Linked DNA regions of Alligator mississippiensis. The protein of the gene in region 2 interacts with the protein of the main gene of each other region in a pairwise test. Links are inferred from orthologs where the notes say so. Each region holds a gene or a part of one and is shown on either strand. Other genes may lie near its edges.

Region 1 (15,789 bases), on a different chromosome or scaffold from region 2:
AGTAAATGCACTACAGGAATGTGAATTTCTTACACTTGTTTTTGATGGACTTAAGTTTTATATATAGTAGGTAAATGTCCATTATATGAAAGAAGGTGATTTTTGGGACATGACATAGCAACTCACTCAATGACACCATCTATATGAACACATATAGGTGGGCAAACATATAACACGAGTTCAACACAGCGAGAAGCACATGAGCTCTCAAGCGACACCTAACTTTCTGGACAAAAAGAGAGTTAAAAAAAGATTTTAAAATGTTAAATTAATATAGCTTTGCATCATGCCAGAGCTGCATCTTTTGAATTATTCATTTGTAATCCTGAAATTTTCTCAACTTAAAGTCTTCTGTTTGAAGTGCAACATACTGAAAGATTATAGCGTCTTAAACATGGAATAATCAGTTTAATGTAAACAATGTTATTTTGAAAGGATTTGTGAATGTCCGTCACACTAACATGACTTTTGGGAAAAGCGTTTGTGAAACATGAAAACATGAAACGGTGTTTCAGAAATAGTATATACTCTCAAGTTCACATAAAAAACCCAGCACTTTTACAACCATATTTAAATTTAATTATTGTACACAGGTTAACAAAAAGTTATCACAAGTAAAACTAAACATTGGATTTAACAAAAGTGATACTTAGAGTGGTACAATGGATGCTCAATTTTTCAGGAAATAATATTACAAGCAATCATCTCTGGGGCATGTCTAGCCCCACTAGGGACATAAGTTCTGTTAAAACATAGCTGTAGTCTATTAAGCCACTTATTTTAGAACTACAGTGTATTTGAAGTCCTATGGTCAAGGCTTAAAAATCCTTTAAGATTCAAGTGCCCAGAGTGTCTTACTGTCACAACAATGGTATTATTAATAAAAAAAAGAGAGAGAGAGACAGAGAGAGACAGAGAGAAGGAAAGAGAGAGAGAGAAAGCAAGAGGTCCAAACAGTCAGATTCATTAAAAGGCTGCTGTATAGTTTTTTCTCATAGCATACTCAGTTCACTTTACTGCTCATATCATTGGTAATAGGGTCTGTATCTGGCTTGATCTGGGTGGTGTGGTCCAGGAAGAGGGGCTTGAGAAGGTGGACCTTGCATTCTTGGAGGTGGAGGTGGCCCTCTTGGAGCTGGCCAGATCCCTGGACTCATTCCCCCTGGCTGTGTAAAAGGAGGGCTAAGAGTTCCTTGATCTTCACTGAACTGTGGTAAAGAGTTAGGATTATAGTGATGGGGAGGGGGTGCATTGACATTTACAGGTGGGCCACCATGCTGGGGAGGGGGAGGTCCTGGAGGAGGATGATTCATATATGGTGGCATCTGGGCAATGATGTGTCCAGGGGGAGGGGTTATTGGTGGAGGAGCAGAGGTCATCGGCGGTGGAGGAGCTTGGCTATAAACCATGTGAGGAGTACCTGCTGCCTGGGGAGGATGCTGCATTGGATGGCTAATTGGTGGTGGTGGCGGCGGGGGTGGTGCATAATGTTGCTGTGGAGGCATTATATGATGAGGGTGGGACACCACTGGTTGACCCTGGTATTCAGGATGATGATGAGCAGGTGCTGGGGCTGGTGGAGGTGGTTCTCGGGCACCTGAATTTGAATCATCCTGAATAGGGACAGTTATTAAATTGCTGTGTTTTCTTGTTGAGATACGGAAGGTATCCTGACTGACCGAGCGAGGAGGTGGTGGAGCCATTGACATCTCTGCCGGGGGCGCACGAATGTCCTCGTGTGGCTGGTTATAGTGCTCATGTGGCACATGCTGTAAAGGTGGTGGTGGCATCATGATGTGCTGCTTTGGCGGAATATGGCTCAAATGATGCTTATCAGGTGGCATTATGAAACGCTCAGGAATTTCAGCAGGAGGTGGGGCAATAGGAGGATGAACAGGTTCAAGTGGAGGACGGGTAACAGGTTTTCCAGCTCTCATGTGACGGTGGTTGATGTGAGCTTGTAAGTCTCTCTGAGATAAATATGTTCTCTTGCACCCTTGAACAATGCTACACATGAAGAGAGACCCTCGCACGCACTGCTCAATTCGCTGCACAGGCTCGTTACAGCTATATTGGAAAAAAAATCAGTTCATTGTCAAAGGCAGCTCAGAATCTAGACGTATTTACGCTAAAAGCCAATGCTTTTACTTCCATACCAATAGAAAAGGCTTGCATTTCCTAAATTAACTCAAATATTTCAAAACCAGTTTCCCCTAGAAGCAATTACAAAGTAGACTGGCATTTTCTGAAGTGTTGTTTATAATTGGCATCCCATGCAGGTTTATTACTCAACACAGAGCAGAGAACCATCCTGAGCTCAGAGTACATAATTGGCAGGTGACCCTTAACTGTTAGTGAATTGTCACTTCTTTGCAAATTACCAAGGGAGGGAAGAACCTAAACATATGAACTATTTCAAATCTCTACTACTTACATATCTGCAGTGAAGCTGAATCCCTCATCGTTTAGTTAAAACTGCTATGTTAAACTAACCTATCAGGTTCAGTAAGCACTATTCTTTACTACTTCTCTTACTGAGTCACGTGTTTTTTTCACTGTGTCAAAACTATGTACATTAAAAAAGATTCTGTGAAATAAGGATCCTTTTCCACACTTCTACGTTATCCCTTTTTAATAAACAAATTCCAGCTCACTTACCCTGGGCACATCTTGTCTCCCTTCTTCTCATGTAATATAGCACAATCATAGCAGAAAACATGCTTGCAAGGGATCTAGAGACATACAAATAATTGTTCTATTAAAACAAGATGTAAACAAGTAAGCCACCTGTAGAATATATTTTTTTTTAAAAGTTCTCATATTTTCCCTCAAGAACATGACTTCTTACTGAATATCTTGTAGAAAATAGATCTTTCTTCCATTAAACTGCCTATGAAACAGATAGATACAGCTCAGGAAAAGACATATGATACCGCTGATCAGATGGTTTCAAGCACTTAAAGATGAATGCAACTGAAAACAACATGTGACACATTTAGGCGAATCTGTAAATAAACAAATGTGCCACAAGCTTCTTCTATGGTAATATTAGCATCTATCCAATTATAGGCAATATTCTAAATTCATCCTAAGCATTAGGTTTGATTGCTATTTTAAGAGAAACAAAACCGATTACTATATAGAATTTACTAACTCAGCTGAAGTCTCCCATTAATATACAGTACTCTACCTGAAAAGGGTCACTTTAATGTTAAATATATATTATAGCCCTCTTACACATTCTTTCACATTAAAAAGTATTTTTCAACTAATTACAATGGGAACAAATCAAACATTGCATCTGCCATCCTTTCACCATATCTGCCATTTTGTTCCTTGATTCAACAAGGTAACAGCACAAAATATGTGGAACATGAATAGTTTGGCATTCTTGTACAAATTAAGTGGCTGAGTCTGAACTGAGATGCACAGAGATACCTCGTACTGGTTCTGCACAGCTCCCCTAAAATCAATTGGCCCTATAGTGGTACGTCTACTTGCTTCTGCTCTGAGATGCAGACCTTCTTTCACAATAATCTGACTTGAAATCAATGACTCCTATGTTTTCTTACAAATATTAAGTAGCCATCATAAATGATGTTACACAGCCACTAGCTACCTACAATTTTGCCAGTAAGCCACTGAGAACTACTTCTAAAACTGCTTCAAATTTTACCTTTTCCACAAGTAGCTCTACTCACCATGCGCCCATACATTTTAATAGGCAATCCACATTTGTCACAAAAATGGACTGGGGTATCATCCTTTTCTCCCAGCAAGTTAATCTGTAAGGAACAGCAATATTATGATGGCTTATTTTCAATATTACCAATATGCTTGCAAGCTCTTAAATATTTCTTAAGAAACATGGACCTGTGCACAATCTGAGAAAAAGGACAAAATACCTTTACAGCAATGCTAAGAGTAAGAGAAGTGCTTATTTTTCATTTGGTTTCTGAAAGGGTAAGCAGGATGCATCTCATTTCATTTCTACACTTTAAAGATGAACTTGCTCCCCATGTATTTAAAAGTTTAGAGAGCAATTTAATTTATATTATCATCCAAACCACTGCATCCAAGATTGTACCTTGAAGTCCCAAAAGATGGGTCCAGGGAATCTTCGTTGATTCCCAAACATTTCACCTCCTTTGCATTCGTATCGTTCCTCTTCATTATAATCAAATTCTTCTGGGGAAAAATGAGACCATACTTCAACACAAACTATTACCTTTCTAAATGACTCAGACTGATTTTAGTATAGAATGATGAGCATTTTAAACAACAATCAGAAATACTATGGCATTTCAGTGTCAGCTGGGCCTAAATCTAATTTTATGCTTAGATACTTTCTGCAAAAAGAGGAACAGAAACAGAATAAAAAGAGTACTCCTTGTTCTTTGGAGGCAGGGGCCATTTACTGCTTATAACACAATATGTGGATGTCTCAGTCACATGTTCTTATGTGTTCGCACAGCACCTAACATATGAGGGCTCCGCTACTGAATGGGGCATCTGACCACTACTGCAAAACAAAAAATAAATGAATTCCCTCTCCTCTCACAGCACTAATTTATTTAGTTTACCATCATCACCAGCTTGTGTCTTTGACGGCATCCTGTTCATATTTCTTGGAGTTCGAGGTGCAGGTTTGATTTTGTTGGTTTGCTTGGAGATAAGCTTTATAGGGATTCGTCTGCGAACATCAAGACCACCCAATGATCCAGAACTATTAGTTCCTTGCAAATCATTGTCTATACAAGAAGAAAATATGTTTATTGTAATTTCCTGGTTATTTTGCATATTAGTTTCTAAAAAGTTAAGTAGCAATCTAGACAAATTAGAAGTATAACTCTGGTTTTATTAAAGCTAATTTAAGATTCATTTATTGTACCAGACACTACTCATTAGAAGGAAAAAAAATCAATCTATTCTGGAATAAATCAATCCATCAGCTCTTCAAGGCAAGGCCTTTTTTGTGCGTCTGTGTAGTGCCTAATGGTAATATTGGCTCACTATACTATAAAACCTCTACAAAACCATAATATTTTAAATTATGTTCTCTTACCATGCTGGGTCATTGTAATCATCACAGTGGACAAGTTGTATAAAAAAAGTTTCCAAACTCTTATCTTGATATGAAGAAGCCCTAACACCTCTCACCTAGTTTTTCCATTTCATCTACAAGCCCAGACCATAGTTTAAATTATAAGGTAAAAACAAACTCTTTTTAAAGAGGCCCCTACAACCCAATACCCTTTTTCCTGCAGCTATGTAATACATTTTGGGTTCATCATCATTTGAACTGGCCAGAAGAGGCTGGAACTGTTGCTTTTATTTCATTTAACAGTGACCCCTTCTGGCCCATTTCACATATAAGTGACAAACCATCAGATTAAAAGATCATACAAGTTGTATTATTAATAATACAGTAGTGCTTAGACAGCTTAGCTAAGATTAGGGACAAGTCCATTGTAAGCCTCATGCTTACAAACTGAACAAATTACATAAGGGTTAGAAGGAAACAGGTGTGTAAAGGCAAAGTGATGGCTGAAGATCATTTAGCAGTTCAGGTGCAAAGCCAGGAACAGAACAACTGTATGTACTCAAATAGAAGATGACCCTAATGATAAGATGACCCCCATAATTACATTCTATATATGGAAAATATAAAAATGTGTTATCATTTTCCAGATATAGAATCAAATTATTGGAGGCTTGCCTCGAATTTGTCCCCCTCTCACTGCTACAGCATGTAAACCAAATTTGTGGGACCAGGTAGCCCTTTGCTCTCTGCTTCCCCCACCATTTTTTCTCTAGCAGACCCTTCCCTTTCTCCTTACTGTCAGACCCTGCTCTCCCTGCACACATGGAAGTGAGGAACAAATCTGAAAACAATAACCTTGAAAATAAACATGGGTATATCAATTTGCATATAGTACCCATGCATTGTCCAGTAATCTATCCAGAATTGATGCTGCAGGGATGGTGCCCAGTTGGCACCTGCCAGGTTATTTTGAGCTGTGTGCAGGGTTCTGACCAGCCAGTGCAGGGTCATTCCAAGCTGCTGCCTGCCAACGAGTGCCAATTTGCTTCGGCACCCTCTGACGGGAAACTGCACATGCATCTCAAAGTGACCTAAAGGCGCCAGCCAGGCACTGTCCACACAGCATGGGATTTCTGGCCAGCACATGCTGAGTTGCTCTGCGCTGCTGCTCAAGCAGCAAGTGCTGGGACAACCCAGCTCACAGAAAGGGACCTGGCGCTAGGCTGCCAGCATGTGCCAGGTTGCTCCAGCACCCACTACTTGAGCAGCATCTCAGAGCAACTCAGTATGCGCTGGCCAGAAACCCTGCACTGTGGGCACAGGGCATGGCCTGCACCTGCTGCATTATTTTGAGCTGTGTGTGTGGTTTCCAGCCAGAGGGTGCCAAAGCAATGCGGCACATGCTGGCAGGCAGCTTGGAGTGACTGCACTGGCCAGCCAGAAACCCTGTATGCTGAGGGGTGCCCAGGTGCCCTCTGATGACTGACCACATACTAGGTGTCTGGCCATGTGGCCTCCTCACTAACATTGACATCCCCAGTGCATTTTCTGATTTCAGATAAGTCGTATGCAATCATAAGACAAGGCTTAATTTTTCCCATATTGAATGGGGGGGAACCTTGTCTTATAATCGAGAAAATATGGTAAATTTCTCTGACTCTCAAACCAGTGTCGTCTCAGACTCAGCACTTGCCCGTTTTGCCGGGTGGTCAAGTGTACCCATTTCACACAGTGCTCTGAATGCCACCATTACAACGTGAGTGTACTTCTTACCTTCTATTAAAAATTGTTTCTAGTTTTATTGGAATTTTTGAGGAGGGGGAGGGAATAGGTTTTCCACTAATTAAACCAGTTCCTCAGTCAAAGTGTATTTTAACTCATGGATCTCTCTTTTAGGGACCAGAGGACTGGAGCATCACAGAGCCAATACTTGTAAGGTTAAGGGTGTTCTTGACTTTAGGAAACCATGCCTCTTGTTACAAAAACTGTGTTGCTGCTCATTAACATCTGTTAGCAGTCAGCAGCACAGCAATTCCAGTGAAGTCGACAGGGAGAACAATTTTGAGGCAGTACATGAAGGGCCAAAAAACTAAAATTCTCAGCAGAACAGTTGTGCCTGCACATGCAGAGCAAAAAAAGTCATAAAGCAAACACCTTTCAGTTCCTCCAGTCCACACCACTGCCAGTGCAGACACCTAAACGAAGGCTATGTTCTATTCTAAAACCTTCACGGGAACTGAAGGTAATTAGGGGGCTGCTTTGGTACTGACAGTGAACGAAGTATGAATGAAGGATCTACTAGCATGGGTAAGATGGCTAAGCCAAGAGGAAAAAATATATCTGAAGCATTTAACAGGCTCTCTTGGCATACAACACAATACAAAACAATGGACTTGCACTGTAAGCTTTCTGAAAGCTCTTCTGGTACAGAAAGTATTTTAGATATAAAAAGTACATTCTCTTCTGTACTTTTTGGGCACAAGATCTTTGGAGAAAACTTTTCTGAACAAGGTAGCTCCTCAGGCTATTTATATACCAGTTCACTCCATGTACACTAACTGTACAAACTAGCACTACAGGTGAAAAAAGGTAGGCTGAATATTAGGAAACTTCCTGTTAAGAGTATCATTAGGAAATGATGCAGTGAAATCTTGTAGTCTGTATACATCTTATTTCGTTAGTCTATAAAGGTACACATCTACCTCGCCTTCTGAATGACTTCAGATTAACAAAGCTAACTACCTCTATTAGGAAATGAAACATTTGCAGGTGTAGAGTAAAAACTAGCCCAGAAGAGACTATCAGAGCTGTTCCTAAAAGTGGGATAGATGAACAAAGAGCTTTTTAAAAATCAACTAAACTCTACTGGCCTGTTCATCTGGTTTAGGTCTACAGACTCGAGAAGCCAATGGAGTTACAGCAGGAAATAATGCGACTCAAGGAAGTTTCTAACTTCCTATCATCCTTCTAACCCAGCTAATAACCTACAAGGGTCCACCGAAAAATGAGAATGCTCTTACATGACTTCACTAGTTTTTTTAATTTAAGTTTTTGGTTATGACCTGACACATTTTAAAGGGGCACCAGTCAGCATGCACTAATAGCACACACTTAATCCCGCACTGTGAGTTTGGATTCAGCCCCTTCCCCACACCTGTCCCTGGGCACCCTGACCTCTGGGATCTGTGGCCTTTCCACTCCAGGCCATTCCCCAGGCTCAAGCTCTCTTTGCACAGGAGTGACTACAAACGCAGCCAGGTCAGGTCTGGAGGCCGGCAACAAAGTTAAGAACAGGTTCGTATTTCTGGGCTGAAACCCAGGCTCAAGCCCCTGCACAGCAAGCTGCAAGCGGAGCAAGAGAGCCTCTAGACAATGCTCAGGACAGGACTTTTTCCAGGGATCGCGGCTCACTACGCCATAGGAGTGGGGTCAGATGCAAGAGTCTGGCACCGCAGCTGCCTAAAGGCCAAGCAGCTGGGTAAGGGGTTTCAAGCCCACCGCCCTGGGGTCAGCACCGAGACCCTCCAGGGACCCGCTGAACGCCGAGGCTGAACGGGTGCGGCCCAGCGCGGGCACCTCGATCCGGCCCCTTAGGGCGGGCCCGAGCGCGGCCGCTGTCACAAGGGACCGCAACGAGCGAGGTCGACGGCAGCAACCCCCGGCCCCCGGGGCTAAAGCACGGGCCGCCGGCGGCCACACCCGGAGCCCTCCCCGTCCCGGGGCGTCAGCGAGGGGAAGGAAGCGGGGGCGGGGCCGGCGCCAGTTCGGGCTTGGGGAGGCCGCGGCCCTCGGCTCCGCTCGGCGCGGGCTCAGCCCGTGGGGCCCAGGCCTCAGAGCGCGGCCCGGCCGCCGCCCCCGGAGCCCCGCCGCAGCCAGCGGCAGCGCCCGCGAGCGCCGAGGCGGCCGGGCCGGGCCAGACCCACACAGGCCTCTCTCCCTCCCTCGCCCCTCCTCACCATTGTGGTCCATGATTCGGCGCGGGGCACTGTGGGAGCGGAAGTGCCCCGCGCCAGAAGGGAGGAGCCGGAAACGACTGAAGGGAGAAACCGGAAACTCGCTGAACAAGGGGGTGGGACGTGCCCGCGGGACAGCTGGGGGGGGGCCGTGGCGCGCGATGCGGCGGAGTGGTCACCATGGCAACCAGAACACTGCGCACCCGAGCGGGCAGGGCGGAACGGCACGCCGCGCGGCATGCTGGGAAACGTGCTTTGCCCTGGCGCCGGAGCGGGCCTGGTGCATGCCGGGAGCGGCAGGTCCCCGCAAGCCTCGCCTTGGCCCCGGTGCATGCCGGGAGCTGTAGTTCCTCCCCCCATGTTGAGGTGGTCGTAGGCGGCGCCTGGCTCCGCAGCCGGTCCTCTGCACAAGTAGCGTGTGTCTGACAGCGCCCGTGGTTGCTGCGGAGAGCTCCAGCCTGGCCGCGGCCTACCAGGCCGTCGGAGCCAGGCTAACGGGGGTGTAGCCGGGGGGCGTCCATGCCACCCCCTGCGTCCTTTGCCCTGAATTCATCCTACCGGGCAGGGGAAGGACCAGGAGGTGGTTTCCCGGGGAGGTCAGATCCCCTTGAATGGCGTCGCGTAGGGCAGGTGGAGACGGGCCCGATGCACTGCAGACAGGCCCCCTACCACGGTCTGCCCTAGCAGCGGTTCCCAACTTTGTTTGTCCCAGGACCCATTTGTAAGCATGGATGGCCAGTGCCCCTCGCTGCCGACCCGCGGCCCCTGTGTGCGGGGTGAGGGGAACTCTGCCAGCTTGCATGGGAAAAGCCACACTGTCATGTTTTTCACCTTTAAAGGAGAATCCATTTCTAAAGTGTGTTGAACCATTTCTGAAGTTTGTTCGTAACCTTTACATCTATTCTTGCGACCCCACCTTTTGGGTTGAGACCGACAGGTTGAGAAACGCTGCACTATTGCTTCTTTGGCCTGTTGGCAAGTAAGACTCAGAGGCATCCGAACCCCCAGACCTCTGGGTTTGGGGCCTGCGTTAGGAAGCCTGCCATGCATTTGGGAGTGTCTGAAACCCTAGGCTGAAGAGCCCTGGAGGGAAAATACTTGCCAGTGGTAATGCTATATGGGCCTGAATGACTCGGCCCTGCTCATCAGATGAAATTCAGAACTAATTTGACTGATTTGACCAGAGACACAAAATTTAAAAAGACAAAAAACAAAACCTGAATGAATCCCAGTTAAAATCCCGAATTTTAGCCGATTTTGGATTTTAAACTTCGTTACAGAACAACAAGGAAGTTTTTTTGCCTCCCTGCCTGCCATCTGACATCTCCAGGGAAGGGATTCTACCTGATCAACACATCAAAGAGCTACTTAACACAGCTCACAGACACTGTCATGGACCCAGAGGGACAGACTTCCATCTTCAGTTCCCCCTGTGCAAAAATGAAGTTTATTTCCTGCCTATGGGGACTTTTGACCATCTTGTACCATCTACACTTTTCCCAGAGACCAACGAAGGGACTTTAATCCCAAAAGCTTGCAGGAAAGGACAATTTTCTTGCCATTTTCCAGTTGGTCTAATAAAAGGTATCATTTTGGAACCAAGAGTCCTAGTTTTTGTATATCCCAGTTAAAATAGCACTTAAAAAAAAATAGGTCCAGTCCCCCCATGGCCAATCTTGCTGTGCGGAGAGGTGGGGGGGGTGTCCCCCTGCGGCTCATCTCACTGCTGGGACGGGCCACAGCAGCCAATCACTGCTGCACCTGCTTCCAGGAGTGGCTGCATCTGTTTCTGGGAGCAGCTGCAGCGATCAGCCAGTGCTTGCAGGGGGGGCACTGGCACTCCTGCCTGCCCCCCATTGCCTAAGCAGTGAGCGCAGCCAGTCAGGGGGTACACTGGTGCTCTCAGGGGGTTCACATGCATCCCCATGCACTCCCTACACGTCGCCAGTAATTGGGTCCTTGCTCAAATGGTTATGGCTATGGAAGCTCTGGCTACAAAGTGGTTTGCTGCATACAGTGTGGATAGGGCAGCAGGCCTGGAAATAGGGGTGGCTCTAAAAAGGATCAAAGTGTATAGGAACCGTTAAGTTCTGCTAGCACCTAAGTGCTGCAGGGATTAAGAACATAAGAACTGCTATTTACTGTGTCAGACCACAGGTCCATCTTGCCCAGAGTCATGCAGTGGCAATGTCCAGTTTCTGTCCGCTTTGTATTTCATGTCTTGTAATGTTTTAAATGTGCAACATCCTTACCCCAGGTAATTTCCTTCCTTTTAAAAATGTAACTATTCTCCTATCTAAATGTATTTATTAGTAGTAACAGTGGGGAACCATCATTTCTTACATAGCTGTTATTGCTTTAAAACTAGGGGTTAAAATTGCATAGCTTTTCTTGTAATCTTGAACACTGTGTAAATTACTATATTTATGCATTCTCACTAACTTACATTAGCATTGTCTCTTTGATATGTTCTATTACAAGAGAGAAAGGGTTAGTTTATATCCCACTAAACCAACATTAGATAATGGGTCTGATTCTGATAACTTTACTCAAGTTTCAGAAAAACCTACCATATTTTTTTGGCTTATAATACATATTTCCCCCCAAAATTCAGGTCCTGGAAATTGGGGGGGGAGGTGTTATGGTCAAGAAAATATGGTAACAGCAGTGCTTGCTACTTCAGCTTCTGCCAGGGGAAAGCACAAGTAAAGGGGCACTTAAGCACGCTGCTGCTGGCACCGGGCACTTTCCTTCCCCTCCCCACCTCTCCACACCCCTCCCCCCCCCAGGCTTTCAAGGAAGGATCTTTATTTCATTCTGCCTTTCAAAAATAAAATGGATTTTATTCAGGGGTGTGTTATACATGAGGAAGAGACAGCATTCCCAAAGTTCTACCTTCAAACAGACTAATTATGGACGAAGGCAATATCATAATGCAAATAGTATCAGACTAGCCCCTAAAAATCATAAGTTTGCAATATATTACCCGGTCAAAACATTTCTATATATGTTTGATATCAATTATGATCTTTAACAGTAGGGCCTGGTTACTAAAAATAAAATTAATGAACCAAGTTTCTCAAATAATAGTGTCTCCTGATGAGCCCAATTTTTATGTGGTTATCATTTTTGTAGTAGTACAATAAGTTTAATTTTGCATGAATAAATTTCATCTGTCCTCCATTTTGATTATGTAACAAAGTTTTTTTATAATAAAACTTTAAACACAGAAGCAAACCTAGGAGTATTTATAAAGAATCACCAAGATAGATACTTTTTTAAAGATGTTTTTGCTGAATGGGTGATAATGTTCTGCGCATCAACTGCATGGGATTGAAGATATTTTTGCAGGTCAGGGCCCAGAGTTCTTACTGCCTATTGCTGCTTTTGTTCGAGGAATATATTATAATCAATTATTTACGTTACAGTAGCATCTAAAGATGTCTCCAATTGTGCCAGGCACTGAACAAACCAATCCAACGAATTTGTAATCTTCTCAATGCTATGGACTATGTTACCACAGAATCATAGAAAATTAGGGTTAGAGGGGATCTTGGGAGGTCATCTAGGCCAAACCCCTGTTCAAAGCAGGACTGTCCCCAACTAAATCATCCCAGCCAAGGCTTTTCTAGCAGGGTCTCAAAAATCTCCAAGGATGGGAATTTCACAACCTCTCTGGGTAACCTGTTCCACTGCATTACTACCCTCCTAGTAAGAAAGTTTTTCCTAATACCTAAACCTAAACTTCACTTGCTGCAACTTGAGACCATTGCTCCTTGTTCTGCTACCATCAAGTGGCTATTTTTTCCTATAAGTATCAACATAGTATTGGGTCATTTACATCCACCAACCCTAAAACTAGTTGCAATTTCTGTCATGTTGGAACGATGTTGTAGCCATGATGGTCCAAGACATATGCAAAAGGCAAGAATTTTTGTTGGTGATATCTTCTATTGAACCAAATGCATTGTTGGGATAGACTTTTGAATGCAATGTATTCTTCAACTAGGCATTGTATTTGAAAGCTTATCTAAGTTTATCCCAACCATGCAGTTCATCCAGTAGAAGCCGTCACCCACGCAAAGCCTTGCCTCCTGAAGTTTCTAGAAGCTATGATGATCTGCCTCCAAATTTTAACAATGGTTGCTTCTGCGAATGAGTTCTGATCAAATGTTTTGAGTAGTTCAAGGGTATTCTGTCAACAGACAAAATGTAGACATTTCTAGAGATCTGTAGAATTCACAAAAGGAAATCAGTGTTTTCTTCAAATGCAAAGACTGGTCCCAGTTCAGATACTGGTTGTCTAATGTTGGTGCATACATAGTTTCACAAGTCCACAGCATGACAACATCCATTTTTCTTCATGATGCAAGCCTGCGCATTGCCTGTTTGCAGTAATGTTGAAACAGTGAGGGTGGAAGAAAGAGGAGAAAAGAGGTACATGATTAGTTCTGAGTACACAACATCTCTTACAACATTTTTGCACATGCACTGCTATATAAGCAGCTCAGTCCTGGATGACTGAATCTGCTAGGAAATATTCTTAAAAGGGCTGCAGTCTGAAGCAGTCTCTCTGGCTGATAGCTTTATCACAGATTTTGAGCAGGATTCTCTCCTAAACCCAGTAAAAACTGGCCATGAGAGGGCAGGAGTAGAAACCATCAAATATATTGCCAGTCTAGGATAAGACAGTTTCTTATTCAGTCCCTGAGGTAACCTTAACATCTTGGGAGGTAATTATGTTTCTTAGAACCAATTTGTGCTTGGAGGCAGACTGAACAGCATTTCTTAGTTGAAAGCAGCAAGCTTTTACAGAGCAGACGCAGGCATACTGCCTCAAGAGTGCTGAAGTGGAGATGCATGCTTACACAAGGTGCCGGCTGTACTTTCCAAAAAAAATAAAAGATACTAACTTTTTCCACTAGCATTGTTCTCCAGGTACACAGAGACACACTAACTGTTCTCTCGCCTCACTTCTTGGCATGCATCTCAGCCAATGCTTTCCCTGAAAGGGCCAGCCAGCTTCCAAGTTTTATGCAGCCCACAAGGCTGTGATATTTTGCGGGTGAGGAGTTGGGAATGCCAGTCAACTGGCCCAGAATATTGTATCTGCATGACTTGTTATGCTACTTTATTAAGACAAAAACAACGTAAATAACAGCTGCATGCTCTATGTAATGGCATACCTCCTCCTGAACATCAAGTTCATCTTCAGGTCGGCTTGTTTCCGTGAACTCTATTGGTTCTTTAGATTCTTGCATGAGTGAAATCTTAACAAAGAGAAGTAAGTATTGTTAGCTAAAGGAACACTGTGGTAGTACAGGTAAAGCCTGAAATGTTTGAATGTTACTGCCTTATCCTGTAAGAACTTTTTGCTTTCTTAGATAGCGTACTTTGAGTGTTTGCCTCAGGAGTGAAAAATGGTTTTGCACTTAACCAAACTCAATATAAACAATGTTTTTAGTCATAAAAAAAAATCTTGAACTTTTTGTGCCACCTGACAGCATGTTGCCTTGTTTCTCAGAGGCACACATTATATGGAGCCAGGCTGGGATGTGCTGTATATCAGGCCAGCCCCACATGCCACATCCAGTACATGTCCCAGACTAGCCCTGTGTGCTGCTTAGAGCGTATTTGCCGAGTCCAGCTCCAAGTGCTGCATGGGATATGCGCTAGCCTGTAGCACTGGGTAAGTTTGATACCCCAGCTCTAAATAATTTCAGAAGTGCTGTGGACATCCAGGTTTAAGCACCTTGGGCATGTCCACACATGCAAGCACGTGTGCTTGCAGCAGCTCAAATAAAAGTGGTGCAAATTTGAGCTGGGGCTTTTTTGCTTCAGCACTCGTGCTCGGACATGTACTTTATTGTGGAGCAAATTGTGCCACTTGGGGCAAAATAACCCTGTCTGGCTCCTCACGGATCTGCAGCCAGGGGGAGCTAGAGCCTGGGGCCAGCACCTGTGCTGTCCCAGCAGCATAAAAAGCTGCTCTGTCCTGGTCCCAGCAGTACAAAAACCTACCCTGGCCAGTAGCTCAGGGTTATTTGACCTCAGGAGCTTCTGGGGCCCAGGCAATTGGTATCTGGGGACACTAGCCCCTTGCATCAGCTAGACTGCTGAAGCAGCATCCCAAATTCACTTTTTAAAATATCCCAAAATCCACATTCTTCCGCAATTAGAACAAAAGAGAGAGAGAAAGGGGGACTGATCAGATGGGCGATGTTTTATTATTATATTTACAATGTTAAAGAAATTTGGAAGCCTGTCAGTGTCTCTAACATCATAATAAAATAAATCCTAAATATCTATATGTTTTAATGTTTGCTTTGGGTTTCCTTATCACATGGTAGGTGTGTGATGGGGGGGATGTAGGGTTTGTAGGAGAGGGTGGGAAGGCGGGGGTGGATGTGGAGTGATGTGAGTCACTGTGTGGGTAGGTGGTGTGGGGGGACTGTGGGTGTGGGGGCTGCTTAGGAGGGGTGGGTCCCCTGCATGAACGCCGCATGCCCCTGGTGGCTGGTGGGGCACAGCAGCACTGACAGCAGTGGGAGCATGGTGGCAGTGGTAAGCGGGGAGCTCCTGCAGATGCTGCTGGCACTGGCGGCAGCAGGAGGAGGGGTGGTGAGCAGTGAGCACTTATATACACCACTGGCAGCGACATCAGTGGCCAACGGTGATCACTGACTGCCCACACATACCACTGGCGGCCAGGGGGGGGGGGCAGCAAGCGGCAACTGCCTACGGGCACTGGCGACAGTCAATAGTGTCAGTGGCGCCTTTAAGGGGGTGCAC
Region 2 (16,021 bases):
GCTCACCTGGCGCTGTTAGAGGCGACGTGTGGGGACCCATGGGTGCAGGGGTGCCCGGGCGGGAGAGCAGCTGACACCCCTGGTACCTGCCACGGTTCAGAGCCCTCGTTTCGTCACGGCCACGTGGTGACGCAGCTCTCACTTGAGCTCCGTGGTGCTCACCCACTCCTCCCAGTTAGGAGCTGCTTGCAGAGGGTGGGAAGCTCTGGGCAGCTGCAACCCATCCACCCCCTATCCCAGCCGCGCCTTCCCCATGCTCTGTGCATTGCTCAAGGCCTCTCCGTGGCCCGGCAGAGGGGGCAGCGAGAACCCCAGTGCCACCGCGGTGCCAGCCTGGAGCCGCTCCACAGGCGAGAGCCACTTCTGCACTGCGTGCAGCCACGGCCCCTCTTTCCACGGCGGTGAAACCCCAGCCGTTTGCCCCAGCGGCAGAGGCAGGTGCGTGCTGACGTGGCACCGCGTGGCTCAGGGCTTCCCGAGTCAGCTCCGGGAAGCAGGTTGCAGCAAGCACCGAACAAACGCTGCCCGGTCCCCAGACCTCCAGCCCCCGCAGGCTGCTACAATCCCTCCCCCGGTCCGGGGCTGGGCAGGGGGAGACCAGAGTCTCACAGCCGGGAGGGAGCAAACCTAGGGTCCTGTGGCCACCAGGCCCAGTCAGCAGCGGTCTGTCCCCTGCTAACTTGGGGTACTCGGAGCCGTGCAGGGCCTTGGAAGCATTGGCTTCCAGGACTGCTATCGACTGGGAAAGACCCCCGTCCATTGTGCTCAGTTTCCCATCACACAGGCAGAAAACGAAAGCTGGAAGGGAGAGCAACCTGGGTCTGACCACGGGTTTTCCACGGTCCCTCTCCCTTGGACCTTCCTCGACCTGGAGACTGCGACTCAAGGGCCGTGCCCCTCACTCCCTGCTCAGCCCCTTTGCTCCAAGCATGTCCACTCCCTTGGTGGATCTGGCCGAGCTCTCAGTGTCCACCACATCCAGCGGCTGTAACCTCCACGCGTTAGTGACCCGTGGGTGAAAAGGAACTTCCTGGTGTTCGTTTTGAACCGACTGCCTACTTATTTCAGTTTGTGACCCCTGGTTCTTGCCTTGTGAAAGTCAATAAGAAATCCCCATGGACTTTCTCTTCACCAGTTAGTATTTTGTAAACCCTTCTCATATCTCCTTTGCTAAGCTGACCCGGCTTGTCCCCTCCAGTCTCAGCTTGCATGGAAACCCCTCCGTACCCCTCATCCGGTTGCCCATCTCCGGACCTTCTCGAGTCCTTCTATGTCCTTGCTGAGGTGCGGGCACCAGAACTGGGCGCAGTATTCAAGGTGTGAAGGCACTATGGATTTATAAATGGGTATGATGAGAGGGGCTCTCGCACCCTCTCGGCCTGTGCCTCCCTCAGCAGCAATGAAGCCTCCTGCAAGGGGGGGCCCAACCGCGTCCAGCAGCCTGTCCTGGGGAGAGCCGGGCAGCCCTATGCCCCTGCCTGAGGCAGGGAGATCTTTTTTTTCTTCTTTAATCCAAGTCCCAATTAGTACCAAATGCAACTGAGCAAAGCTCAAAAACTGAGCCTACAAAAATCCATGGGTTGTAGGACTCAACCGGGCCAGCACCCTGCCAGGACTACAGACCTGGGGCTTCAGGGGCTCCCCAGATCCAGGCAGGCAGCCTTCATGCAAGTCCCAGGCCTCCGGGATTTTGGATGCCCCCAGTCATGCTTGATCTCAGCCGGGGCAGGGAGGCAGGCTGCGCCCCGGGAGGGAAGGGCCTTGGCTATGCAGCAGGAGGCAAGGGTGGTTTGCACCTTTCTGGGCCCCCAGACTGAAGGCAGGGCAGAGGTGCCCCTTTATAGACCAGCAACATCAGGTATGGATATAAAGCACGAGCTTTCTTGAGCCCAAGTTCAGTATCAGACTAACACGACCAACAGCCTCTCGGTGTAACAGGAGACCAAGCCGGGTGCCACCGTCCAGGGCAGTGCCTCTCCAGGGTGGTGTCTGTGCCAGGGGCAGGGCGTGGGCAGACAGCAGAGCTCAGCTTGTGGAGCAGCACAGGGATGCATCACACCTCGCCTCGCTGCACGCACCTGTCCTGCTAGGAATATGCAGGAGTCCTTTGTATAATCCCCCCGCCATGAAAGCTTTCACTTTCTGCCCTGTCCTTCCTTCCAGCCAAGTCTCCTTCCACCCCCTGCTTTCTGGCATCCCAGCCAAGAGCGTGCCCCTCTGGGGTCCCTGCCTGGCTGCAGCCCGGGGGAGCTGCACGTTCATCCCCAAAGCCCCGGGCTCTCGTGGCAGCAGCTCCCAGCTCAGCAGCTTCTCAGGGGTGCCGAGGTTTCACTGCGTCCCCCTGCACTGCCCCAGACCCAGCTCTTTTGGAAAGTACCTGGAGACCTTTCACATTTCCCAAGGGCTCCAAGGAGGAGCCAGAACTTTCCTGTTGCCTGGGGGAGCCGGCTGCCTGGCAGGAGGCAGAGACGGGATCGGGTTCCCCGCAGCGGGTGGAATTTAAAACTGAAACACATTGGGCAAGGCCCCAAGTGACCCCACCCCACCCAGCTCCTGCACCCAGCTGCCAGGGCCTCAGTGATCCAGGGAACTAAGTGGCTGCACGGACACCTTCCCCAGGCAGCTAGACCCATAGCGTCTCTCTGCCATGGGCGCAAGGCTCTTGGGCCATGCATAAGTGATGGGACCTGAGAGCTGATGGCTCAGCCTCCCAACGGGCGATGGCTGCAATACGCCTGGTGCCGGGTGCGTTCACAGTGACGGCCTTTGAAGCACGGAGGCTCCGGCACCTCCTGGGGCACATTTTCTCCGCAGCCGGTGCCATGCTCCGAGCCAGCCCCCTGCATCCTGGCCAGCAGAGCCAACCCCACGGCCTCACTTGCACCGACCGGGGCAGGGGTGAAGGAAGACACTGGTCTTCCTGACTGCTGGATGCCGACAGCTCGCATGTGGGGCTGCCTCAGTTTCCCTGCAGGACCCCCCTTGTCGACTCCAGCTGCAGTATGAGCTGCAGGGGAAGGTGCTGAGACCCCAGCCCTGGGATGCTGTGAGCATGTCCCTGCCCCCATGCCAGACCCAATCGCCATCCCAGCCAGCCAGAGTCTGAAAAGGATCGCCAGCGCTTTAAGACTCTGACCTCCTACCCCCACCCCAGGTCAAGGTCTGGACCGAAGCCATCGTGTGGCACGGGGGGTGTCAGCGCTAAGGACAGGGTGCGGATGCAGAGCTCCGCTCGGACATTGGTGCCCAGGGATCAGGACTCAGCGTGGTCACTCCAGCTCCTGGCTGGGCAGGAGACGCAGCAGCCTCCAGCCCAGCCCCGGGGGCAGGTAGAGCAGGAAAAAGCACTTCCTCCCCTGCCTTCCCGGGTTCCTGCCAGCGGCAGGTTATTCCAGCCCGGCTTTGCCACCCCAGCCCAGGTGGGAGCAGAGGCCTGGAGCACAGGACCCGAGTGCAGGGGCAGCCAGGCCGGCGTGCCCCCCCAGCAGGGCCCACTCCCACATGCGCAGGGCAGGGCTGGTGACATCACTGAGGAGTTTCGCCCCGGTCCAGACTGGCTGGGCGAGTTTCTCCTGAGAGCTGACTCAGACGCCAGTCACCTGCGTGTGTACACAGCGGCTGTGCCACCCCCAGCCGGGCTGGGAACGCGCCAGGCATGGCGCTCAGCTCTGGGACGCCAGCCAAAGCCTTGCCAGGCTGCAGGAGTGGCCGGGGCCGTGCAGGGTGGGGCTGTGGGGCTCAGCACAATGGACCCACCGTGGAGGGACCAGATGAGCTACAAATCCTCTTCCAACGGGGTGCATAGGATTACCTCCCCCTCCACTTGAGGCCACTCTCGGGTGGAGACAGGGCTTCACCCCCTTGCCTGTCGCCCTGTCGCTGGCTAGCCTGCCTACAGCTCACTCCCAACGCCCTTGGTGCTAGTTGTTGCCCCCAACCTACAAGTCCCAGCATGGGTGCACAGGGATTTGCCCAAGGCACCACGAGCAGTCAGTGGTTGGGAATGCTTGGCTTCCAGCTCATCCCCTCCCCGTACGGCAGCTCCCCCCAGCAAGCTGGCGATGGAGGCGCGGGCGCTCCCGGGACTGCCTCGAGGAAAGCAAGCAGCTGCTGATGCCCACAGGGAATCACCCAGCGGGAGGCTTTCCTCCACACAATTAATGCATCCCGGGCAGCTCCATCCAGCCCTCCGAGGGGAATCCTCAGTGACGGGTCTGCAGGGAGGGTTTTGGGTACAGTCCAAAGCACCTGGCCACTGCCCAGGAGCAGCCCTGCTCAGGCACTAAGTGTTCACAGCGGGTCCAAGAGAGCCCCTCGTGCCTGGGTTTTCCTCCTGCCCCCACGCACAGGCCTATCCAGACCTGTCTGGGAGACACCATCCTCTCAGCCGCGAATGGACCCAAGTGCAGTTAGGGGGTCAAGGCCTGTCCGGCGCACTGCAGGCAGGCTGACCCCGCGAGTCTATAATGCCTCCGATGGGGGCCATTGATGGTGACGGGGGACTGGTCTCAAGCTTTGCCCCTAGCTCCTTCAGCCGTTCAGCTCAGGGCAAGCAAGACCAGGGGCACCTCAACCTCCAAGCCTCTGGGCTTGCACGTAGGATGCCTGCCATGGATGTGGGAACTTCTGAAGCCCCAGACTGAAGAAGAGTCTGGAAGAGAGGAGACTTGCCGGAGATATCGCCACATGGACTTGAGCTCTGCTCAGTCAAAATTCAGAACTAATTTGGCCCAGAAACAAAATTTGATTTAAAAAAATCCAGACAGGTCCATGGGAGGGGCCTGCCTGGGCGCTAATCCCCTAATTACAGGCCAGTTCTGCCTCCCTGTCACTGTGGATTATCACACCAGAAGCCTTGTGCCCTGCCAGCACCCTGGCACGGCCGCCCTGCTTGCCCGGCGAGGCAGTCTCCAGCCTCCTGCGCCCGGGGACCAGCTCTTCCGCTGGTTGTGGGCAGCTGAGGCCTTACAGGTAACCTGTGTGCAGCTCCCGGGACAGGGCTACAAGGGCTCTCTCCAAGCTACGTCTCACCAGCACTGAGCTGCCTCCGGTTGCAGCCCCAGGTGGACACTGTCTACACTGCCCCGTGCCCTTGGGGGCACCAGCACCTGCTGGGCTACTCCGGTCTGCAGCCAACAGGCTCCTGGTCCCAGGGATGGGAGTGCTTTGCACAGGGACTCTCCTGCCACCTGCTCCTGGGCTGAGCCTCTCCAGAGGGTCAAGCCGGCTCCAGGGTCTCGAGTGCGGGCAGAGAGCAGGGAGGAGACCTAGGGCCATGTCTCTGCTCTCGGCCCCCGCACCCGCCCCTGCCAAACTTTTGAAACAGAAAGCAGCGGGGCTGGGAACCTGGGGAATTCCCACTCAAGGAACCGGGGCAGTTGCACAGAAGGGTGGCTCAGGCCAGCGGGGAAATCACCGGTCGTGGTAGCGTAAGGCAGGACCCCCGGGCAACTCGTGATCAGGCAAGAACCAGAACCAAGTGTCCCAGCTGATTTGGAGACACTGCTCTGCACCACGAGCTGCCAGGAAGGCACGGGTGCCACGGGTTTCCCCATGCGTCTCTCTGCGACTCCTCTACTGGCTGCCTCTGGGCTCTAGCATGTTCCCCCTCAGACAGGACGGAGCCAGAGCTGCCTCGCAGCAGCTGTGTTGTCGCCACCAGCCTCGTCACCCATTAACCAGGAGCAAACAGCACTTCCATCGCAACCTCTCGAAAGCCCCAGCGCAGCCCAGGACCCCCACACACGCCATGCTTTGCAATCCCAGCACCAGCCGCCCCCACGCCGGCTCCCTCCCCCAGCTACAGCACAAATGCCAAGGGAAAGAGGAAGCGTCACTGCTAACTCAGGCCTCAGACCAGCTCCCACAACCGCTGGCATGCGAACCGGGGAGGGATGTGCCCCTGCAAGGGGCTGGGGCAGGCTGCATGCAGCAGGTTGGTGTAACTGCAGCAAGCGCAGCAGGCTGGCTTGTCTGGACATAGCACCCACATCCCACCAGCCGGCAACAGCCGCTAACAAAGTCATGGACAACGAGCCACGCCAGGCAGCGCAGTAGGTACAGCCCAAATTACGAGCTGCATCAGCACCCCTCTGGCTCTGGGGCTCAGGTGCCAGCAGGCAGGTCTTTGGAGGCCAGCACAGACCACGCACTTCTCCAGCCACCCCTGCTGCTCCTGCGGGCCCTGGGGACAGTGCTCTGCCATCACTGAGAGGATGCACAAGACCCGTCTAGTCGGCTGCCTCCAACCAGCTCTCCCCAGACAGACCCCATTGCTCCCTGCCAGCCAGGAAAAAGCCCCTGGTTGGCAAAGGGAAGCCCAGCTCATGTGCCAACCCAGGGTGGGAACAGCTTCAGCCTTCTTGCAGCCTGGACATCATGCTGCGACTACCTCGGGGAATGGCCCGTGCATGTGCTCTCGCCCCACGGCAGGTGCGGGGGACCCTGCTCTGCTCTGGGGCAGGAGCGCACACACACAGACAGCTCCTGTGGCACAGCTTCCATGCCCTTGCATGCCCTGCAGCGACTCCTCCACATTGCCAGACCCCGTGGGCTGGCAGCTCCTGCTGTCCTGGTGTCAGCCCTCTCAGGGAATCCCCAAAACCATGACCCTAGGGTGGGGACCAGCAGACCAACACAGCGCCCCCCAAGCAGCTGGGGACCCATGCCCCTAGGAGCTTGGGGTTGGGGACACCCCAGATTTACAACAGCCTGTCAGGTCAGCCCTGGGCAGGGGGCTTTGGCAGCCAGGGGCGCCCGGCAGAGAACAGAGAGGCCCTGCACTTGCTGTGAACACCACCATTGAAACAGTGCCAGGCATTTGTGCAGTGCCAGGGGAGAGAGCTGCCCCCACCCTGCCCCAGACAAAAGCACCCCTGGACCAGCTCAGCCCACTGCTTGCATTTGCTCCTCGCCCGCCAGAACCGACTGCCCAGGCACTCCCGAGCGCAGCCCTTGGCCGCAGCGTGCTGCCCTCCAGCTTCCTGTTTGCACCGCCCCAGCGCAGGGCGAGCCGCGGGCGGGGAGGTGGCACCAGCCGTGCCTGGTGCGATCCATCAAAGCCGGGTTGTCAGAGTTCAACAGTCAACCGGAGCCCCGCGCCCGCCCAATGCGAGTTAGAACAAGCCTGCTCCCTCCCTCCCTCCCTCCCTCCCTCCCTCCCAGCGCCGGGAAAGGGCAGGTGGGAAGGGGCTTTGTGCTGCTCTTTGCCTTTCCCTGCCAGCGGCCAGCCCGCCCCTCTCTCGGGGCCTTTCAGCACCTGCCGCCCCCCCGGGACGCTGCACCAGGACGGCACGGGATCCTGATGGGGAGGGGCACTGGGCACAGGGACCCTGGGGGGTCCTGGAGCATGGGACGCAGGGGACTAGGGGTCTCGGCACGGAGCACGGAGGGATTAAGGGTCTTGGGGCACTGGGCAGGGGGGCACAGGGGCACTAGGGGTGTCGGGTCCCCTGGGCGACCCGCGGCGCAGCGCTCACCTGAGCCCAGGACTCTGCCCCTCTCCAGGCTGTGCCGGCGCACGGCGAAGGTGAAGGTCTGGGCGCTGAAGCCGGGCTGGCAGCGCGTCTCCTCGCACAGCCCCGGGCCGGCCTGGCGGGGAGACAGCGTGAGCCGGGTGTGGGTGGGGATGGGGATGGGGATGGGGATGGGGTCGGGGGTCGGGGTGGGGTCGGGGCCGGGGTCTCACCTGCAGCAGCAGCAGGAGGCAGAGCGCGGCGCCGGGCGGCCCCATGGACGCGGAGTGCGGGCCGGGCGGGCGCGGCGCGGGCAGGTGAGCGGCCCCGGCTCCGCCCCGCAGGTGGGTCGGGACGGGACGGGACGGGACGGGCCGGGATGGGCCGGGCCCGGGGGAGGTCCTCGGGGCTGCGGGCGGGGGTTTCCGCCTCCCCCGGTCCTGCCCCTGCCCGATGCGTGTGCGGGGCAGGGCGGGATTCCTCCTCCTCCTCCCCCGCATCGCGCTGGTCCGGCCTGGGGGGCTGCCCCTCCCTCCGCACCCGCGGACCGGCACCCTCCTGGAGAGGCGGGGCAGGGTGTAGAGCTGGGACACGGGGTTTGATCCTGCCCGGGGTGACCCCCGTCTCCTCCCCATAGATTTCATAGACACTAGGGCTGGAAGGGACCTGGGACCACCATCGAGTCCAGCCCCTGCCTGAAGGCAGAAGTCAGCTGCGGTCACAGGATCCCAGCAAGATAAGCATCCAATTTTTTCTTGAAGGTGTTCAAAGTGGGTGCTGGAACCACGCCGGTGGCAGGCTGTTCCAGACCTCGGGGGCTCGGACAGTGAAGAGATTCGTCCTTGTGTCCAGCCTGAATCCGCTGCGACGGAGTTTGTGACCGTTCAACCTCGTCATCCCTTGGGGCGCTGTGGTGAACAAACGTTCCCCCAGGTCCTGGCGGTCACCCCTGATAAACTTATAGGTGGCGGCGGACTCTCTGAGACCAGACGTGACAGACCTATGCCCTGCCCCATACGTGACCACTCTCATGGTCTTAGGAGGCTGCCCCGGGGTGCCAGGCACAGGGGATCCGGCTGCCCCCCCATCAGCAGGGCTGTAGCACCAGGCAGGTTTCGGGGTCAAGGGTGTCATGTCCCGGGGTGCTGTTTGGGTGCATTGGCTTTGCAGCCCCCCTGGGGAAGACCCCAACAAAGTGCCGATGCTCGACCCCGTGCGCTAGGGACACCCGTGACTGGGAAGTGGGACCAGGGACCTCAGCTTAGAAAGCAGCCAGCAACCACCAGCAGCTGCAGGCCCCGGGCCCCAACCTCAGGAGCCACCAGGCCTTCGAGCTGGCCCCAGGGCAGGGGCAGGAGCCAGAGAAGTGAAAGGAGAAGGGGAAGGTGTCTTCCCACACCCTGTCTGAGGGCGGGCGGCTGGGAGCGGATGCTGGGCAGGACGAAGGTGACAAACAGGGCTGACAGGTGAGGCGTGGGGCCACCTCTGCCCCAGTAAGCTCAGCCTGGTGACGGGACATGCCGGGTGGGGCTGCGTGGGCAGCAGAGCTCGGGCATGAGCTGTTTGCTGCAACTGCAAGCGTGCTAGAGCCAACTGGCCCAGCGCAGGGGTGGGCTGCTAGTCCCCCCATGCAGAAGGGACCAGGGCTTTTGCTTCACCCCTGCAGCTTCCCTCCAGCTGGGCCCCCACAGAGCTGCATGGATTGCATAAGGCAGGAAGCCTGGAGCGGGGCCTGCTGTGCCCAGGTCTTAAGGGCAAAGTTCTTGCTGAACAAACACCGAAACTGCAAGTGCTGCAGTGGCTCAGCTCTGCTTCCTGTCCCTGCTGGTGTGGCCAGCCGGATGCTGTAGCTGGACTCAAGGGCAGCCCGAGGCAGGGGCACATAGGGAGCAGGCAGGCGGCTGGGCCTGGGCATGCAGGCACCACGTGCTGCAGATGAGACGGGCTGCGGGGGATACAGCAGAGCTGGCCCCCGTGCAGGAGAAGGAAGTGCACCTTGCTGGCAACAGCTGATGGACCAACCACAGCTTGCGCGCCCGCAGTCGCCACCACGACTTCCTCCTCACTCTGCCTCCTTCCTGGTCTGTCATGCCTCCCAGGAGCCCAGGCATCGTCCGCTCCCATCCTCCTGCCTGGGGTCACATTGTACCGTATCCTTTCCCCCACCCCGTCTTCTCCAGCCTGTGGGTCAGCAGCAATCAACCTCTGGCCTGCAGCTATGGCCAGGGCACCTACCTGCCCTGCTCCTTCCTGCGCTGCGCTCTCAGCCATCCACCATGCGCTTTCCAGGCCCTCCCTAGACCACCCGTCACTGTCCCCAGTTCACGCAGCCTCCGATGTCAGCTCCAGCCTCCCTGCCTGGGCACTGCACCATCAGACCAGCCTCTCGCTGGGCCCCGGGAAGGGGCTCCTGCTCCTTTCAGTCCCTCCTTACCACTTCCCTCTCAACAGCCTCTGGTCCTGGAAGCCCCGTGGGGCAAAGGTCATGCGTCTGTGCAGCACCCTGGCCCAGTCATCCCCACAACACCCGGCAGCGGGCTGGTGACCACCAGGCTGGTGAAAGGGGACGCTGCCCTTGAGTCCAGCTTCCCCTTCCACTTGCCCGGCTCCTGCTGCTTGCTGGCAGGTGATGGAGAGCAAACGTGGTGCCAGGGCTCCCACGGGCATGCACTGGCCAAGTCGTGCCTTAAACATTGAATTATTCACTGCTGGCTCCGCAGGGACAGGCAACTCCAGGCCTTTCCTTCCATCCCAGCAAGCAGGTGCTCTCCTGGGTGCAGTCCTGCCCAGCTCAGTGCTCACCTGATGACCACAATCTCTAGCATGGCCCTGCGCCAGGGGACAGAGGGACCAGGGGGCATAGGCTACCCCTAGGACTAAGCATGTGCCTGGAGGGCGCCTGCTCCCTGTTCTGACCTCAGCAGGAGGAGAGCAAGGTTCATCGTGGAGCATGGGGAGGCCAGCTGGGCCATGGGCATGTCCTATTCGAGCAGCCATAGTCCTTGCCCTGAGACTAGGAACAGGGCCCAGGCACAGGAGAGCTGGACCCTACCCGTGCCAGGAGCCCGAGGGGGTGGTATCCTTCAGAAGTGCAACGTGGGGAGAATGGGCAGCAGCAAAGGATGGAGAGGGTGATGAATGGGCACAGCAAACAAAGCCAACAGCCAACCCACTTGTGCTCAGTGCCGTGCCCGGGGTGCCGGAGGGGAGGTGCGAGCTGCTTTGCATGGCCAGAGCCTTGCTCCAAACACTGCCAACAGCTCCGGGCAGGAGCGAGGAGGTGCCCAGGCTCCTGCCCCACCCCTTTCTCCTAGTCACGTCCTTCGGCATGGAGAGGCCTGGAGCTAGGGGTCGGGGTCACCCTCCCAGGACCAGATGGGGGGGTAAGAAGAAAGGGGGCAGTAGCCAAGTGGGGCAGATCCCTCCTGCCGCAGGGGCTGCCCATGCCTGCCTCCTTTGCATCCAGGGCCCTGCATGCATAGTAGGGTTTGTTTTCGTACCCCCTACCCTCCCACTGGAAACATGGCTCACGGACCTGTGGTCCTAGCTCCAAATACACCTACCCCAAGCCACTGAGACCGCTGTTGCTCCACTCCCCCTCTTCCATGGGTCGTCACTGGCGGGTGTTGGGCTGGCCCCCAGCACCCAGGTTGCATGGGAAGGTGCTGCGGAGGCAACTGAGGAGAAATAAGACCTCTGCCTTATTGCTCACCGCTATTGTCAGGAGCCATCCTTTGCACTGCCTCCTGCCCCTCCAGCCTGTCTCCAGCTGCAGCTGCTGTCCCCAGAAGGCCCCTTGGGGTGGGCTGGGGCTCCATGGCACATCGCTGGCACCTGCACGTGGGAGCATAGCCAGACAGCTCCGACCGATGCCAGCAGCGAGCAGGTGGCACAGGTGAGCAGCCACCTGAGCTGCACCAGTTACTATCATCCCTGTCCCAGCAACCCGCGTACCAAAAGCAGGGGCAGCAAGCAGGGCATGCCAGGCCAGGAAGCCCAGCAGCCGAGGGGGCGAGCGCACCCAGTCTGCTCTGCAGCCCGGGATGGTTTCAGAAGCACCCACAGCAGCTCCCCAGGGCTGCCAGGATCCCACAGGCTCAACTGGGAGGCGGGCAGGGTCATGCCAGTCCCAGGTGGTAGGCCAGGTGCCTGGGCTACAGGGCAGGGATGCATTCCCTGCTCCCAGTGCCCGCCCCAGGGACCGGTCCCAACCCTGTGCCATGCTGCCCCCTGCTGGGCAGAGAAGGGAGCCGGGCCCTCCCACGCCCTGGATCACTTCGGGGTGCAGAGCTGAGCCGCAGGACGTGGGGGTGGTGGAGGGTGCCTCCTGGGACACCCAGCCGGGGGGCTGCTCTGGGGGAAGCTGGGCAACACAGGGGCAGGAGATGGCTGGGGAAGAGGGCCCTGAAGGGCTGCAGCACCCGCGCCGGAAAAACCAGTCGGACCAGTCACCAGGCTGCTGCAGAGGCTGGGGGGATGGAGCAGTCCCTGCTCCCCCCCACACCCAGCCTCAGGTTACAAGCTGCTTTCTGAGCAGGGAAGTACCCCCTCCCCCTGGGCCCCTGCCAGGATGCATTACTCCAGGCAGGTGAAAGAGGCCAGGTGAGGCCTCTGCTCCCAGGCTGGGGAATCCCAAGTCCCAGCCTCAGCCCGTGCAGGCAGGCAGCAGCCATCCCCCCAGGGAGGTGCCCAGCTGGAAGCTCTGCAGCCAGTGCTCATCCAGGCTCCTGGCTTCCTCTCCTAGCTCTCCATGCCCCAGGCAGGGCCATTTCTTCCTGCTGCAATGGGAAAGGTGCCTTTTGCTATCACTGGGGGAATCGCAACAGGCCACCCCTGTCCCATGCACAACAAACCCATCCCCCAGTCCATTAAGGCAGCAACTCTGGGTACTGCTCCCAAGGAAGTCCACAGCCCCCATAGACTTCCTGCAAGGACCCAAGCACCAGGTCCCGGGCTCCAAAGAGGGAGTCCCAGCAGAAGGGCTCTCTCTGCCCCCACAGCTCCAGCTGTTCCCAGCAAAGCCGGAGCAGCCTGGGCCAGCTGTGGCTGCGCAGCCCCCACAGCACAGGGGAGTTGCTGTCATTATATCAACTCCACTTCCCCCACAATGCTCGTTAGCAAGGCCACAGGCGAGAGCCCAGGCTGGGGGGTGGCAGCAGCACCCAGAGCGAGGCAGCAGCTGAGCTCTCTGCAGAGATAAGAGCTCTGCAGGTGGCTTGACCTGGCCAGCCTGGCCCCCTGCTCCAAGCCCTTGCAGCACCAGCCATGCCCCAGGGGCACCAGGGAGGGTGTTCAGCTTACCTATGTTGCTGTACACCCCACCCCCATACCACGAGGGTACCTGCAACTCCCATGCCCAGCCCAGCACTGCTGCCCGGGGAGCAGGGGGCAGAGCAGGCAGCCCCTGCCCTTGGAGGGTGCTACCAGGGTCACATTGTGCTGCATCTCCTTCCACTGCACCTGGCTGGGCTTAGGCCTCATCTCACCCCCGGCGGTAGAAAAGAGGGTTATAGCAGATCCAGACTGGAAGACAAGATGCTGGGCCTTGCTGCGGCTCTAGCTCTTTGCTGCACAAGACCTGCCCTAATTATTGCCCTGTAGTTAACAGTGAAAGCTCAGAGGGGGTAGTTTCCGAGGGGGGCTGGAGGCTAGTGAGGGCGAGATGTAACAAGGAATCTTTTATAGGGCTGCAGCGAGACCACCCCTGGAGCGTCGCATCCTGGTTTGGGCACCGTGTCCTGGAGGAAGAGGTAGGGAGAGAGGGTGGAAGCCTTGAAAACCCAACGCATGAGGAAAGAGCAAGAGAACTTGAGTAGTTCAGTCGAGACAAGGGAGAAGAGAGAAATACAATAAATTGTGGTGACAGCCAGGTAAGCCTGTTCTGGAAGCAGATGAGCAGTAAATCGGTTTAAACGACTGCAAGGAAAGCCTCATAGCCACGTGCTTGTTAAGCACTGGGGCAGATGACCTCGGCGATGGGACAGCCCAAGTAAAGAACAGGTTCCAGGGGCCAAGCGAGATCTGAGCCCAGGAGAAGAGAGGGCACGGCCCGGCCTGCCTTCTGCAGGCTCCCAGCTGCCTCAAGGCACTGGCCCCAGGCATTGTGCCACCACTGTGGCAGGGCTGGGTTCCACGGTGCTTGCCCCCACATCTCAGACACCCCAGCACTTCCACCCCAGCCCGGCTCTCAGGACCCCCAGCAGCTGGTTGCAACTCAGCAGCTCCAGTCTAAGCAAGGCAGCTGGCAGTGCTTGTTGCACCCCTGCACCAGGGGCTGGAGAGGTCAGAGCACAAGAAATAGTACAAGGCAGTGCAGCAAGACCCCTCGGTAGGGGAGGCCTCACAGACAGTCCTGCAGGAGCAGGTAGAGACTAGGGCTAGCGCCAGTGCCAGCCCCCTCCCGGCATGTCCTACCCTACCATGCAGCAGGCTCCACTCCCCCCTGCCCCAGGATGGGACTGGTGTAAAGAAGCAGGAACTCAGGGCACTTAAAAAAAAAAAGAAGTACTTTTAATAAAACTAACATGGTAGGACCGTCCTGGCCAAGCAGCGCCCACATCGCGCTGGGGATAATCGTACAAAGGGAGGGGAGAGAAGCGATAGCCATGGGGAGGTACAAAAAAGGAGGCAGCAGCTATCTGATGCTGCAGGGAATGGTTGGATTGAGGCGGCAGCGGCATGTGCAAGGCCAATTTGAGCACAGCCCCAGCCGCGGGCACGGGGGGCCAGCTGGCCCAGGCTGAGAAGCCAAGAGCCGCTGGCCATGGGGGGATACGGGCTCCTAGCTCCACAGGGGATGGGTCCGTGCGTCTGCACGTCCAGAAGGCACCAGCAGCTTAAGGCAGAGAGCTACAGGTCGGAGAAGCAGTGGGTTCAGCCCTGCAAAGGTCTGGGACGACAGCCCCCCCGCGGGGTCTCCTGCACGGGGACCCGGCTGCGTGGGGCTGGCATCCAGCTTCCACACACGTTGCTCCGTGCAAGGCACACGTGGGGCCCTTAGTCCTCGCCGCCCCCATACATGTCGGCCAGCTTCTTGAAGCGGCTGCCCCAGTCGTGCAGGTAGTCGTAGTCCTGGTCGCGGTCAGAGCTGGTGGAGTCAAGGGAGCTAAGCGAGGCGGCCTCGGAGCCGCTGCCCTCGTAGTCAAACACGAGCAGGGAGTCGTAGGGCGGCGCCGTGGGGTCCGTGTCGGCCGCCTTCAGGTTCTGGGGCCGGGAGGAGGCAGCAGGTGAGCATCTCCCTCCCTGCCCTAGTGCAGCCTGGCCCGTGCGGGCTTTGGAAGTGGCTCAAGCTTGGTGTCCAGAGACATCCCGACACCCAGCTTGAGTGGGGGCTGTAGAGCTCAGCTGGCAGAGACTGGAGCCCCCCACCCTCATGAGACCAAGAGCTTTGGGGCAGGAGGACATGGCCTTGGAGCCAGAGTAGTGCTTCTGCACCGAGCCCTGCACAGCACCCTCCTCGTGGCACCAGGACCTGCCCCCCCAAGGCAGCCGAGCATGGGGACCTGACTACACAGCACTGAGCCACGTCCTCAGCTAGGATGGAAGCACCCAGAAGACTCAACCCTTTGCCTCCAAAAGCCACGAGAAGACCCTGGAGTGGAGGGCAAGCCCTCAACCCAGGCATGGACCAGGCCCTGCAAGGACACAACTGACCCCAACACCATGTCTTGGGCTCAGGCCAGCAGGCACGTACCCCCACCCACGCTCCTCACCTCATCGATGAAGTTGCCGATCTCGTTGGGGTTGGCGGGGCGCGGCCGGTACTGCGGGGTTGGCACGAGGGTGGGCACCACGTCATTGCGGAGGATGACCTCGGGGCGGGCATCCAGGCCCCGGTGCAGCTGGCTGAGGTCGTAGTCCTGGAAGGTAGGTACAGCATGGGGTCAGCGCCCAGAGCCCCATTACTCCCCTCCCATCCTGCCCCACTGCCTCAGCCCATGCCCACCTGGTCCTCCTCGCCCCCGCCCTCTTCTCCATAGTAGAAGATGTTGTCCCGCGTGTCGTCCTCCGGGAGCAGCAGGGGCTCCTTCCCTGACTTCCTCCTCCTCCGCACCAGGAGCAGCAGCAGCAGGATGACTGGGGAGACAGGGGGGCTCAGCCAGGCTCCCACCACCCCGTCTCCCAGCCGGGGCCGCACCAGGGCCCCTACACGAGGATGGAGGGGGCTCCAAGTTGCAGGAGGCCCCTTCTCTCCCAGCACAGAGCTGCGCTCCCTGGGAGAGGCTTTGCAAGGGGCCAGCCTGCGTGCAAGCCTGGGGACTCCCAGAGGGTCTGGCCCAGGCCACACACTCACCCAGCAGGACCAGAAGGGCTCCCAGGATGGCCAGGATGATGGGGACGCCTGAGAAAACCGCCTCTGTATGAGGGCATCCCTCCTCCGTGTGCCCCTCGCACTCGCACACCTTGGCTTGCAGCACCGTCAGCTGGTCCTTGCCTTGGTTGTCCACCAGCCGCAGGAAGACCTTGTACACATCCTGCTTCAGCGGCTCCGTCAGCCGCACAATCACAGCATCCCCTGCGCCCAGACAGCGGTCAGCTGCTGGGTGCTGCCCCCCCTGGCTCCCAGG

The links.
Region 1: the proteins of B-cadherin (region 2) and CBLL1 interact in a two-hybrid assay, tested with the Homo sapiens proteins (2 studies listed by BioGRID, with this or other methods). The link is inferred for Alligator mississippiensis from reciprocal best matches to the Homo sapiens genes CDH1 and CBLL1.

What each region holds. Positions count from the first base shown.
Region 1 is NC_081827.1:28,115,570-28,131,358, reverse strand, and holds CBLL1 (E3 ubiquitin-protein ligase Hakai), read right to left. Parts: upstream 6,075-15,789; 5' UTR 5,088-6,074; coding exon 5,066-5,087; intron 4,752-5,065; coding exon 4,584-4,751; intron 4,189-4,583; coding exon 4,088-4,188; intron 3,786-4,087; coding exon 3,702-3,785; intron 2,733-3,701; coding exon 2,659-2,732; intron 2,068-2,658; coding exon 1,026-2,067; 3' UTR 389-1,025; downstream 1-388. Other genes in the region: SLC26A4 (pendrin), read right to left, coding at 13,359-13,382, 14,184-14,267. UniProt on the Homo sapiens protein: E3 ubiquitin-protein ligase that mediates ubiquitination of several tyrosine-phosphorylated Src substrates, including CDH1, CTTN and DOK1. Targets CDH1 for endocytosis and degradation.
Region 2 is NC_081833.1:76,121,757-76,137,777, reverse strand, and holds the start of B-cadherin, read right to left. Parts: upstream 7,794-16,021; 5' UTR 7,733-7,793; coding exon 7,688-7,732; intron 7,591-7,687; coding exon 7,479-7,590; intron 1-7,478. Other genes in the region: B-cadherin, read right to left, coding at 14,451-14,657, 15,167-15,313, 15,400-15,530, 15,748-15,969.